Linked DNA regions of Arabidopsis thaliana. The protein of the gene in region 1 purifies or fractionates together with the protein of each later gene. This does not show direct contact. Each region holds a gene or a part of one and is shown in the gene's direction. Other genes may lie near its edges. The genes, in order: DWA2 and CUL4.

The links.
Region 2: the proteins of DWA2 (region 1) and CUL4 purify together in Arabidopsis thaliana (affinity purification with western blotting, with the first as the bait; one study listed by BioGRID). This does not show direct contact.

What each region holds. Positions count from the first base shown.
Region 1 is NC_003070.9:28,608,239-28,613,971, forward strand, and holds DWA2 (DWD (DDB1-binding WD40 protein) hypersensitive to ABA 2), read left to right. Parts: upstream 1-1,954; 5' UTR 1,955-2,124; coding exon 2,125-2,169; intron 2,170-2,248; coding exon 2,249-2,332; intron 2,333-2,402; coding exon 2,403-2,535; intron 2,536-2,683; coding exon 2,684-2,795; intron 2,796-2,931; coding exon 2,932-3,031; intron 3,032-3,146; coding exon 3,147-3,274; intron 3,275-3,440; coding exon 3,441-3,510; intron 3,511-3,768; coding exon 3,769-3,857; intron 3,858-3,996; coding exon 3,997-4,042; intron 4,043-4,214; coding exon 4,215-4,285; intron 4,286-4,364; coding exon 4,365-4,438; intron 4,439-4,520; coding exon 4,521-4,579; intron 4,580-4,718; coding exon 4,719-4,760; 3' UTR 4,761-5,025; downstream 5,026-5,733. Other genes in the region: AT1G76250 (uncharacterized protein), read right to left, coding at 174-704; AT1G76270 (O-fucosyltransferase family protein), read right to left, coding at 5,316-5,733. UniProt on the Arabidopsis thaliana protein: Component of the CUL4-RBX1-DDB1-DWA1/DWA2 E3 ubiquitin-protein ligase complex that acts as a negative regulator in abscisic acid (ABA) signaling. May function as the substrate recognition module within this complex leading to ABI5 degradation.
Region 2 is NC_003076.8:18,730,743-18,738,546, reverse strand, and holds CUL4 (cullin4), read left to right. Parts: upstream 1-1,731; 5' UTR 1,732-1,893; coding exon 1,894-2,140; intron 2,141-2,620; coding exon 2,621-2,736; intron 2,737-2,821; coding exon 2,822-3,168; intron 3,169-3,445; coding exon 3,446-3,626; intron 3,627-3,716; coding exon 3,717-3,839; intron 3,840-3,927; coding exon 3,928-4,215; intron 4,216-4,584; coding exon 4,585-4,710; intron 4,711-4,848; coding exon 4,849-4,950; intron 4,951-5,051; coding exon 5,052-5,105; intron 5,106-5,353; coding exon 5,354-5,460; intron 5,461-5,556; coding exon 5,557-5,617; intron 5,618-5,710; coding exon 5,711-5,842; intron 5,843-5,940; coding exon 5,941-6,078; intron 6,079-6,194; coding exon 6,195-6,275; intron 6,276-6,386; coding exon 6,387-6,467; intron 6,468-6,592; coding exon 6,593-6,673; intron 6,674-6,864; coding exon 6,865-6,978; 3' UTR 6,979-7,176; downstream 7,177-7,804. UniProt on the Arabidopsis thaliana protein: Component of the CUL4-RBX1-CDD (COP10-DDB1a-DET1) E3 ubiquitin-protein ligase complex which mediates the ubiquitination and subsequent proteasomal degradation of target proteins. Participates in the CDD complex to light-mediated control of development.

The sequences.
Region 1 (5,733 bases):
AACCTCTCCAACTAAACGGAGGTCCCCGCTCCTGATCACTTTCTTATCCTTAATTATATATTCCCGAATTTTATGCACTTAAAAATTTAATGTAATACTCCAACATTTAATTAATTGAAAGTTAGTGAAAAGAATTTATAAGGTAAGGAAGTTCAAAAGAGTCGATAAATTACCTTAATGCCATTGGGCGAATTCATAGGTGTGAGGACTCGAACCATCGGCTCAGTCTCATTGATTGGCTTAGGCTCAAAGATACGAACCCAAGCAAGTCTTGGTGCGTCCTTAAGTAACCGAAGTTTGAAAGAATTTTTGTCGAGAGGACTATTAAGAAACAAATCAGCATTAGGATAAACCCTCAAGATCTTCTCCATAATCGACGGTCCGGTTAACTCAAACCGCCTCGCTCCTCCTACCAAACACACCGCAATCTTCGACTTAACCAACTCCTCCCTCTTCCTCCGCCGTCGATTTTCCATCTCCTCCGCTTGGATAACGTCGTTAGGGTTCGAATCTGACAATTCGACGGTGAAATCGGTGACGGTTAGGGTATGAGTGTAGATTAGGTTACGAAGAGGGGCTAGAGTTGGAAAAGGATCAAGTGAGAGAGATGAGAAAGAGATTAAGACGAGGAGGGTGAGAGATGGGATTATGAGAAGGAGGAGAAGACGACGATCGACGTCGGAGATTCTCCTGGAAACGTACATAACGGCGGCGTAAGTGATCGTAACCCTAATCTGTGAGAATAACCACCACCGTGGATTGTTCACACACGTTTCATTTGCCGAGAGAGAGATTTTTGTATTTATAGAGTTTTGATTTTCTTCAAAACTTTTGAAGTGATTCGGAGAGGCGCTGGTTTGTTGGAGTGGAAGGTGAAATCAACATTACGCGTGGGTTTGGTTTTCGTTTTCTCTTTTCTTCTAGAGAGAGATATGAAATATCTATGTAGCTCTGTATAAAACCGATGCATAATTAATTAAAATATACGTATTTGATTACGTTTTCAAAAAGGAAATGATCAATGTTACTTTTGTTTTTTTCACGTTTCTTTGTTTGCTTAGTAAATAATTTATGAATGTTTGAAATACTTTGGTGAATAGTTTTAGTGCTCGATCGTTACAGTAATCAATTCGAATAAACTCTTCACTAAATATGCTCGTTACAGTCTTCACGTTTATTGTAACTGTTAGACCCCCACTCATTGTGTATTAGGGGATGTTGACAAGTATATTGAAGAGATTGATATCTTGAAAGGCGTACGTGGACTAGTAAAGAAATGGATAGTTTGGGTTGCAAGAAAAGTTTTACTTTTTGTATTCAACAAAAGGAAAAGAAAAGTATTTTTTGTTATCCAAGATATGACTTTATGTAGTATATTCATTTGAGAGCATTGTATTAATTAGAATGTTCACATATATCAATATATAATTATATATAGAATTTGCTCTTCAATTGTAAAGAAGAAATGAGGTTCCAAATTTGTTATTAGTGCTCTAAACATATATTTTTATTACCTTAGAAATTAATATATAATATTTCTTTCTTTGCTTTCCCATGACTTTTTACTGTTTTTGGTAACAAGATAATACTTTCCCTAGTATATAAGATTTTTAAAGCTTTTTTGTTGTTGTTCCCAATTAGTTTTTCTCTAGTTTCTAGTCATAATTTATATTAATTCCATAGTTTATGATTATTTAAATTATGCAGTATTTTTTATTGGTTAAATTTTTATTAATGATAAAACATGTGATTTTAGCCAAAACATCTAATAAAATGGGACATATGGAGTACTACAATAGTGATAGATCTTTTATTTACCTGTTTATTATATATGAATCTATTCAATTTTCATTTATTTACATGTTTATTTAAATTATTTATTTAATTTGCATCTAAAATTTGCAAAACTATTGTTGGGCCATGAGTGTCAACTGTCAAATGTCAACCATAGAAGCAAAAATAAAACAGTTTATGATTCAGTTTGTAAAAGTGGGCTTATTTAAATGAATATTGGCCCATTAGTATCATCTTCACGAAACCCAGCAAAATCAGAGAGCGGCAAATCGTTGAAGAGAGATCTTCTTCTTCCTGAATCCGTAACGTTAGCTCAGGCGTAAGAGCATAATGCAAGGAGGATCATCGGGTATTGGTTATGGTTTGAAGTATCAGGTAGTTCACGATCTTCTTCATGCCCGATCCTTTGTCAATTTACGAGCTTTCTTAATGGTGGAAAATTTGCTGTTTTCAGGCCAGATGTATATCGGATGTTAAAGCAGATAGAGATCACACTAGCTTCCTCACTGGAACCCTAAGCTTGAAAGAAGAAAATGAGGTGATTGATTCTTAAGATCTGTTTCGTTCTATTTCTGGATCGGAAGATTCTGACTTTGTTAAATTTTAAGGTTCATTTGCTTCGTTTGTCTTCTGGTGGATCTGAGCTGTTATGTGAGGGATTGTTCTCGCATCCTAATGAAATTTGGGACCTTGCTTCTTCCCCTTTTGATCAACGCATTTTCTCTACTGTCTTCTCCACTGGTAATTCTCATCATCTCGAAACTTCTAATTTTGAGTTGATTTGAAGTAAAAAAAATCGGACTTTTCCGATTGAATGCATAAAGTTTCAGAAATTGAAACTACAGTGTTGTCAGAGGAGAATTACAGTGTTGTTGTTTTCAATTTCAAGGCGACTCATATGGAGCAGCAATATGGCAGATTCCTGAGCCATATGGTCAATCGAATTCTTCAACATTGGAATGTGTTGCTTCCCTTGATGCACATGTTGGTAAGATTAATTGGTGAGTTCATTGTTTACAGTTTCAGCAGTCTATCTACTGGGTGTGCTTATAAGTGCGGTGGTTTAAAAAGTCTTAGAACTTGTAACTTTCTTATCTTCACTTTCATGAAGACTCTCTATACCTCTTGTGGAAACAGCGTTCTTTGGTGTCCCTCTGGAAATTCTGACAAGTTAATCAGCATGGATGAACAAAATCTTGTCTTCTGGAGTTTAGACTCTTCAAAGAAAAGTGCGGAGGTGATTGTTGCTACAACAAGAGAAAGGATAAACCCATTAAATCATTTTTGCCTCCTGTGTTTTTAGACCACCTTTGAGGTACTTTCCGCTTAATCATCTTTTTTGCTAATTATAGGTTTTATCTAAGGAGTCAGCTGGTATGCGTCATTCTTTATCTGGTGGAGCATGGAATCCACATGATGTGAATTCTGTTGCAGCAACTTCTGAATCATCTATCCAGTTTTGGGACTTACGTACTATGAAGTATGTCATATTTGTTCCTCTCTTATGTTCGCATGAAAGTTAATATACTGTATTCCTGCATGCACAGCTAGCGTGTTTCCTCTAGTCAATAGTTTGTCATTATTAATTTTTGGGTTCCAAAATCAGATACCTTTATGTTGAGCTTGATATGTTTGCATATTTACAGGAAGAATAATTCAATTGAACGTGCCCATGTACGTAATGTTGACTACAATCTCAAGAGAGAACATATACTCGTAAGATTTCTCTCTCTGTATGCAAATATTTTAAATGCTTGTCAAGCAATTCCAACAAAGAATTACACAGTGCTCCAAAGTTAGAAAACAATCTGTTATATAGATTGCAAATGGGTAGGAACAAGGAAGTAATTGTGTCATTTCTGATTTAATTTTTTCTTCATAGCAAGAACTTTTTATCTGAAAGGTAGTAGGTCCCCTATTTACAGAAATGGTATCAGATGGTTCTATTTATGCATTGGACTGTCGATTGTGTAGGTTTCTGCGGATGATGAATCTGGTATACATCTCTGGGATCTTCGGAAGACAAAGTTTCCTGTGCAAGAGCTCCCTGGTCATACACACTGGTAATTTACCTCTAAACTCATTTTTGTGGATTATTATTTTTTCTCTTCCATGATTCTGCTTCATATGCACACAAATCTAATGCTTTCGACCTGAAATTTTGTTTCTAGCGTGACTGTTCTTTCTGAATTTTCTTTACAGGACATGGGCTGTCAGGTGTAACCCTGAGTATGAAGAGCTAATTCTGGTACCCATTTTCTCTTACCTTTTTTCTCTTAGCACAGTCGAACGAATCTAAATTGTTATTGTGCTTGTCACTACTGACAGCTTTAAGCTGCTAGTCGATGATTCTAGAACAATTTCTGTCACTCACAATGTATATTTAAAGTGTCAGTTTCTGATAAATTAACCAAACACAGAGCGTTGGAACAGACTCAGCTGTCAACTTGTGGTTTGCTTCAGCATCTAGTGAGCATAAAACATCAGAAAGGTTAATTCTCTTTATTATCGCACACAACAATTTTTCCAACTTTGTTTTGAACTTTTATTCTAATGCCGATGCTGTGCAGCCCGGTGGAAGCATCACGTCAGCGTGTGAACCCGTTACTAAACTCTTATACTGACTACGAAGACAGTGTCTACGGTAACTCTTGGAACAAACTGAGTTTAGTTACCACAATTTCCCACTAAAACTGCATGAAGTCACTATATAATTGCTGTCACAGGCCTTGCTTGGAGCTCGCGTGAGCCTTGGATTTTTGCATCATTGTCATATGACGGTAGGGTAAGTGACTTTGCTTTTGACAACAACCTAAAGAACTATGGAGAACTAAGAAATAGACGATTTATTACCCCAAACAATTCTAAATTCTGAAAGCAGTTTGGAGAGTTCATCTCATAATTTTGGTGTTTGCTTATGTTAGGTTGTGATCGAATCCGTCAAGCCTTTCCTGCCAAGAAGATAGGTCCCGATGGAAGAAGGCTTCAAAGAAAAAGCTGCATTCATATGCTATCATTTAAGACAAATTTTGAATGTTTTTATAATAATCACAACATCAAAACTATTCTTCTACAGTTCTTCAACTTTTACTCGTGTCTTTGTTCATCTCTATCTCTCAGCACAAGGCACAAAGATGTAAAACCAAACCTCGTGAAAATACTTTGGTACAAAGTCAATGAACCTGCTGCTATAATTCAGTTTATTGTAAAGAAAATATTCGGATCAAGTAATCACCGGTGTCATAATGCTACACATGCCTACTTGTTTTCCCTTTTTCTATAGCTACTTTCTCTGGTAAAGCCACAATTCCGAGTACTAAAATATGACTGAAAAAAATTGATCTGTCCTCAGATCCTGATAAACAAAACAATGCTCTATCGCGTGGTTCTATGTACAGGAGACATTACATGCAAAATGGTGACAACAAGGCTTAGCACCAAGGTTGGAAAACTCACTGTGAAGTGCCCAAGCAGAGGACAGATTCAGTGTAGTGATGTGAAGGTCACTGATGCGTATCTAACTAATCTGATAGCATTGCTTCAAGCTCAGGCTCATCAGAGGTAGATGGATCATCGTAATCTAAACTTGTCCCGTTGTATAATCCTCTGTCCTGAAGATCACTCTGTTCTTCCTCATAGTCTGGCTCCGACCAATCTGGGTCATCCTCTTCGGTTTGATCATCATTGGTTACAGTTACTGCTGCGTCTTTATTAGTGGATTTGTTTTTCTTTCCAAGTTTTCTAGATTCTAATTGCGCCTTTGCCTTAGCCTCTGTATCTTCGCATATGCACGTGGATGGGTTTTCGTGAAATTCACCTCTACCAGCTCTTACTTCCTTTGGCTCTCCCATGAACCCTCTCTGAAACGAACGGACTTTAGATGAAAACTCCTCCCATGTCGTGTTCTCTTTGTTCATGAATAATCTGTAAAGCTTTTTT
Region 2 (7,804 bases), on another chromosome or scaffold:
AATTTTATTTTTACTTTTATATCTCAGCATGACTACCGATTAGAATATATAAATGGTGAAACAGAAGCGGTTTTAATCCGCAATCTTATTAATCAGTGTTCCATGTACAAACCATTCAAAGCTAAAATTGTTCAATTGTTTGTTTTATGTCAAGCTTACAATTTTTCAATAACTCCTCATTTTCACATGTTTGCATGTGAAAATATTGATCCAACGATCCAAGAGACTTACAATTTGCTATTATTAGTATCAATTGGGATTAATTGAGAAATTCTATAGTCTTGAAACATGAATAAAGAAAAAATAAATGTGTTGACATGTTAATGAGGGATTAAAGAAATAAAAAAAAATTATTAGTAAGTTTAAGCGAGGTGAGAATGTAATGAACACCATTTTGTATTAGTAATTATACAATTCCATAGGCTAATCAACATGTAATAAAAAGTTTTAAGACCATGCAGTCGTTGAGGCTGTGGCTGTAATAATATTCATCCTTGCAATTGCGACTTAAAAACCAGCCATGTTTTTTGGCCCAAGAACCCTCACTAATCAAAACACATTCGCACAACAGCACAAGTTATATGAGTTCGCCAATTGGTACGTCTCGGTAACACTTGTAAGACCATCTCCATCGGAATATCTGATTGAGATACTCATCAATTAAATAATAATTAAAAAGAGAAAAAGTATGAGAGAAGAAGAGAAAAGTGGAGAAACTGGCAAGAGAGACTATTCTCAGCATTTATTGAGAGTTGTCATTCAATTAATAGTTCATTTACTTCAAACTAATTAAAATATATTAATTTGATTAAAATATTAATTTATTTACTTTTTGAGATACTCTCTACCACTTTTGCCGATGGAGATGCTCTAACAATCTCATCTCGTCTCTTATCTGCTTGATAGGCTTCGGTTAAACCTTTGTAATCAGGCCCAAAGTATTAACTCCTGTAAATAATTTGATAAGCCCATATTTTGTAATCAGAACCAAACCCTAAACCGGAAGTCCAAAAACCCTGTGGAGCAGCAAGTCAACACGCCCCACATTGGCTAATCCATGACATCGATCATATTATATTTATTCATATTGTCAAGTGATGATTCTTCGTTCATGTCTTTTAACATCACACAATTTTCTGCCTGAAATTACCGACTGCTAAAAGTATTTAATCATCTCTATTTTTATCTCCATTCTCCACGTTATAGGTGAGTCTATTTTATAGGCATTTTATTCTAATATATTCTTTTAAAATAGTTTTTTTTAAAAAATAAAAGAAATATATGGAAAAAAAATCAACTCAATTTTCTTTAAAATAAAAATAAAAATATATATCAAAAATGATCTAAATATCAAGCATCGACTCGTGTGATCGATTCTTTATTCTTTAAATCGTAAAATGACTTAATAAAAATTCGACTCTAAAAATATACAATAGATATGATTTATCAGTTGTCAAAAACTAAAAATAAAAAGTAGTTAAAATTTAAAAGTAGTTATAAAAAATAACCATACAAAACAGGCAACAATTGATTATTATTTTTTATTTTTTTGTTTTTCACTTTTGTGATTAGTAACCATTAAAACAACGCACATCTAATCATTGCGGTATATGTCTATTTTTATCAATAATATTTTTTTTATCATATAGTAATTATGATTTATGAATGTATAAATAAAATAATTCTGATTTTATTCAGAGTATATAAATAAACAAAAAATCTTCATTTCTCGGGTCGGGTCTAAATCGCGAGTTTTCGCGTAGGTTTGAGCAAAAAAAAAAAGAGAGAGAGTGCACAGTGCGCTTTTGGTAGAGAGAAAGGGTTGTTATTATTTAGGATTGATGTCTTCTTCTTCCTCTTCGTGATTCTCTCACACAATTTTCACCCATTTTCATGTCTCTTCCTACCAAACGCTCTACTTTCTCCGCCGCTTCTGCCTCCGACGACTCTTCTTACTCTTCTCCTCCGATGAAAAAGGCCAAAAACGACCTCCACCATTCCCCTCAACACCCTAATACCGCCGACAAGGTTGTTGGCTTTCATATGGAGGAAGATCCAACTCCCGCCGCCGCTAATCTCTCTCGGAAGAAAGCTACACTTCCGCAACCTACTAAGAAGTTTGTAATCAAGCTCAATAAAGGTTTCGCTCGATTTCGATTTCTTTCATCTTTACGATTTTGATCGTAATCTTAGGATTTGATTTGGGTCTTTTACTCTACTGTGCAATTGATGCTCTGGATTGATTTGAAATGATACAATTGTTAAGGTTCGTGATTTTTAGGGTTTTCATTGGCTTGCGATTGATGGAAGTTTTGTGTGAGTTTTGATGTTAAATTACAGTGGAAAATTGAGTGTGACTGTTGAATTTTGATGTGAATGAGTGATTTGGGTTTTTGTATTTCTTCTAAGTTGGAATCTCTTTGTCTAGCCTGATCTAGGTACTTAAGATCCGGAATCTTTGTTGTGCACAATCTAGTTGGCTTAGCTCTCACCAAACCTAATTTGTGCCATTAGAAAACATCTTGAGAATCATCTTTACTGTGACTGGCTAGCAAATTGAAGATAAAAGTGTTTTCATAATTAGGGTTCTGATTGTACCATTTGTATTATATATGTGAAGCCAAACCAACTCTACCAACAAACTTTGAGGAGAATACATGGGAGAAGTTGCAGTCAGCTATCAGAGCTATATTCCTCAAAAAAAAAATTTCGTTTGACCTCGAGAGCCTTTACCAGGTTAGGTTACGTGCAAATTTACTTACTTCCTTTCTTATTCGTATGTGTAAATGTCGTGCTGATGAGATTGTGATTGTTTTTTCAGGCTGTTGATAACCTTTGCTTGCATAAGTTGGATGGAAAGCTTTATGACCAGATTGAGAAGGAGTGTGAAGAACACATCTCTGCAGCTTTGCAATCTTTAGTTGGGCAGAACACTGATCTGACTGTTTTCTTGTCACGTGTTGAGAAATGCTGGCAAGACTTTTGTGACCAGATGCTCATGATTCGTAGTATAGCCTTGACTCTGGATAGGAAGTATGTGATACAGAATCCAAATGTACGTTCATTATGGGAGATGGGTTTGCAGCTTTTCCGGAAGCATCTTTCTCTGGCCCCTGAAGTTGAGCAGAGGACGGTTAAAGGTCTCTTAAGTATGATTGAAAAAGAAAGGTAAATTTTTAACCTTCTGGTCTTCCAAAATTAAACGAGGGTTGATTTATCACATTGAGAATATAATTTCATAAAGCCACTTTACCTCAACTTATTTTTCTGGCTTTTGAGTGAATATGGTAAGTTTGGATGGTCTATGAACTATTCCTGTCTAGCAGTGATAACTTGTTATAGGTAAAATTTCAAGGCAAATCAGGACTAGTGTATGTCATTTATATATTGGATAATGTTTTCATCTGAATCTGCTGAACTTTCTTGCATGATATTGGTCCTGCAGGTTAGCAGAAGCTGTTAATAGGACTCTACTAAGCCATCTTTTGAAGATGTTTACTGCACTGGGAATTTATATGGAAAGCTTTGAGAAACCTTTCCTTGAAGGGACCTCTGAATTTTATGCCGCTGAAGGAATGAAATACATGCAGCAGTCTGACGTTCCGGAGTACCTGAAGCATGTTGAGGTGCCTTGCATGACTTCATATAGTTTCCTTATGATTAGCTGCACTACAGGTTAATAGTCTTTCTAAGGTTTCTACTGGTGATTGGTGCAGGGAAGGTTGCATGAAGAGAATGAGAGATGCATACTCTACATAGATGCAGTAACCAGGAAACCATTGATCACAACTGTTGAAAGGCAACTTCTCGAACGTCATATACTTGTTGTTCTTGAAAAGGTTCCAATCTCCTATTATTCTTGTGTTGGCTTGCATATTATCCAATTTTAGTTTGTCGTAGTCTTACTTTATTTCTGAACATCTTCAGGGTTTTACAACATTAATGGATGGACGTCGTACGGAGGACCTTCAGAGGATGCAAACCTTGTTTTCTAGGGTCAATGCACTTGAGTCTCTGAGGCAGGCGCTAAGTTCATATGTTCGGAAAACTGGGCAGAAGATTGTTATGGATGAAGAGAAAGACAAAGATATGGTACAATCACTGTTGGACTTCAAGGCTTCTCTTGACATAATATGGGAAGAGAGCTTTTACAAGAACGAATCATTTGGTAACACAATCAAAGATTCGTTTGAGCATCTGATTAATCTTCGACAGGTATCAAATAGTGATTTTCTTGATTATTGCCTGAGTCTCTTGCTAATAATTTTACTTTCATGTAAAAGCAACATACTGATTATTGTGGAAATGTCAACCTTAAATTACAATTGTGAAATCGAGAAATTTATATTTTATAATAATCTATAGATTTCGTTACTGATTAAGCACTGTATTGCTATGATTTGGAGACATCTTTGGGCAGTGAATACTATTTTCAAACATAATTTTGAGATCAAGCTTCTTGTGGGCACTGGACCTGATCACAGTAGTGTTGTTTGCTAATATATATCACTTTGGATACCAAATACTCTGATTTAGCAAGCATCCCAAATAATATACATCTTATGCTGATAATCTTTTTTACAGAACCGGCCAGCTGAGCTTATTGCCAAGTTTTTGGACGAGAAACTCCGTGCTGGGAATAAGGGTACTTCTGAAGAAGAATTGGAGAGTGTTCTTGAAAAAGTCTTGGTTTTGTTCAGATTTATCCAGGTTATCTCTAATTTCTTACATTTAGTACTGTGTTTGTCACTGTAAATCACTGCTTCGAGGCCAGTGCATGGTCTGTAAACCAGCTATTTGATCTTCTGGATATCGGTTTTGCTGATGGATTTTTATTATTTATCAAAGGGTAAAGATGTGTTCGAAGCATTTTACAAAAAGGATCTTGCGAAGAGACTCCTGTTGGGAAAGAGTGCTTCAATCGATGCTGAGAAATCCATGATCTCTAAGGTTAAAAACTGATTTATATTCTGGGTGTTTCCCTTTCCCACAATTTGTTTTCTATATCTGTAGTTCTCACCCACTGATCCCAACCTTGGTTTTACCTACAGCTTAAGACTGAGTGTGGTAGCCAGTTTACAAACAAGCTCGAAGGGATGTTCAAGGTATCCTTTCTTCTCCTTCTCTATATTCAAAAAAGATGTTGGTCGTTTAAGTTTTACTAAGGAACAAACTTAATGATCTTATATTTTGTTACGTTTTACGATATACCCCGGTATACATATTCATTGTTAATCCAATCTAAGACAGGATTGGCGGATGATCCTGCTCCATACTTATTTTAATGAACTTGTGTACATTTACAATAATCCTAATGAGCTTGAACTCTCCGTTTTATTGAAATTTTCTCCAGGATATTGAATTGTCAAAGGAAATCAACGAGTCATTCAAACAATCTTCCCAGGCCAGAACAAAACTGCCATCGGGAATTGAGATGAGTGTCCACGTTTTAACAACAGGGTATGTACAATGTATCAATTTTATCCAGGATATAACTGCTGGAATGCGGATATCATGACATATATAAAGCTTGTTAACTTCCCGTCTATAATACAGGTACTGGCCAACATATCCGCCTATGGATGTTAAGCTTCCTCATGAACTAAATGTCTATCAGGTTTTACTAAAAGTTCTTCTTATGTATTTTTTTTTGTTTCCTCGTTGGACGTTTTCTTACAAGCTTTTTCTAAGCTATCTGTATGTTTCGTAGGATATCTTCAAAGAGTTCTATTTAAGCAAGTACAGTGGTAGGAGGTTAATGTGGCAAAATTCATTAGGCCACTGTGTTTTAAAGGCAGATTTCTCCAAAGGTAAAAAGGAGCTGGCTGTTTCCCTGTTTCAGGTCAGTCAAATTTTTTTTCCCCCCCCCCCCCTTTTAAGCTCTTTCCTGTCTTCCCGAGGTTACAGTGTTAATCAATTGCTCTTTTCTTTTTGTCTCAGGCTGTTGTGTTAATGTTATTTAACGATGCAATGAAACTTAGCTTTGAAGACATTAAAGATTCCACCAGCATAGAGGACAAGGAGCTGAGGAGGACTTTGCAGTCGCTTGCTTGTGGGAAAGTCCGTGTCCTGCAGAAGGTTTGGCCAAAATCTGGACTCTGTTAACTCTCTTTTCAGCTAATGCAGAAACTGCCGAGATTATGGCTTTGCCTTTTTCCATAAGGATAAGCCTTATTGTGTAAATATTTTTGCAGAATCCTAAGGGAAGAGATGTAGAAGACGGTGATGAATTTGAATTTAATGATGAGTTTGCAGCTCCGCTGTATCGCATTAAGGTACGTTGGTTTTTTTCTTGGTCTCTTCACTTAAAGTATCCTAGAATCTTGTGATACTGTTTTGTATGTAGCTTATAGTGAAGCAATTCTTTCTTTTGTTCCTGGGTGCAGGTAAATGCGATCCAGATGAAAGAGACAGTAGAGGAGAACACAAGTACAACGGAAAGAGTATTCCAGGACCGACAATACCAGGTTGGTTTCTGCTCTCCATTTTCCTTTACGATACTAATTTCTGAAATCGTTCTTACAACTTTGGCTTCTTAAACAAGAAAAGATTTTGACAAAATGGTTTTCCCCATCACACCCTTCTCTTACAGATCGATGCAGCCATTGTTCGTATTATGAAGACAAGAAAAGTCTTGAGCCATACTCTTCTAATCACTGAGCTCTTCCAACAGGTAAATTTCACTCCTGCTTGATGATTTTAAAATCCGAAATAACATGTCGGTTTATGAAAAAAGAAAGCATGAAATTCGTTACTAGGTCCAGTCCTATTGGTAATATACTCGTGATGATGATTAGAGTTCTCAGTAGTCTACTAAATTTAATATACCATTGCTATGAATGGATATATGTTTGTGATTTGCAGCTCAAATTCCCGATAAAGCCTGCTGATCTGAAGAAGAGGATTGAGAGCTTGATCGATCGAGAATATTTGGAGAGGGAAAAAAGCAACCCTCAGATATACAATTATCTTGCTTAGAATCTCTTTGGTAAACACACCTTTTGAATATTTTCCTTTTTGTATATTTATTGACAAACAAACGATGACCGAAATTTTCTTATCAGTTTGAAAAAAAAAAAGAACTCTCGATATTCCAATCATCTCTATTCTCGCTGTTCCGCCCGTTCTTATGTACAGCCTTAAGTTCTATTTCTTACTTTGATTCACTTTTCCTCGGTTCTCACTTTTTTTTTTTTTTTGAACATACTTTCTTGGGACTTCTTTGTTTTCAGATTTTTATACAACTTAAAAGATGTTTTTGTTTCCCTACAAAAATAACTGATTTGTTTTAAAAAAATTCAAACTTCCAATAAAGTTCCTAAGATAGGTTATATATCTTCGAGGGTTTTCTATGTGCTGATTCCATTTTGTTTTCGTTTTTGAGTTTTATTTGAATGGAGATAGTTCTTAGAGCTTTTTCTTCGTTTTTAGGCAATTAAATCTTAAGTTTAATCGGATTTTTTTTTACACTACATTATAGGCATTTCTGTTTTTACCACTACCAAATAACTAAAGAAAGAACAGAGAGAATCAAATTGCTTACTTGATGAACGTCCCTAACGACATTTAACTATGGCTGATCAATATTGTACGCAACTGAAAGACAATTGAATAAAATTCATACTACGGTTTGTGAAATAGTTAAATGTATCTACACGTACATTTAAGAAAAATGGAAATATATTGACTCATCGTCCAACTGCTTCAATCTAGTGACTCCACAGCTTTTTAGTTCGGGTTTCATACTGTAGTAGGAAAGTAAACGAACTATGTAAAGAAAATTGGATTTCAGAAAAAAATAATT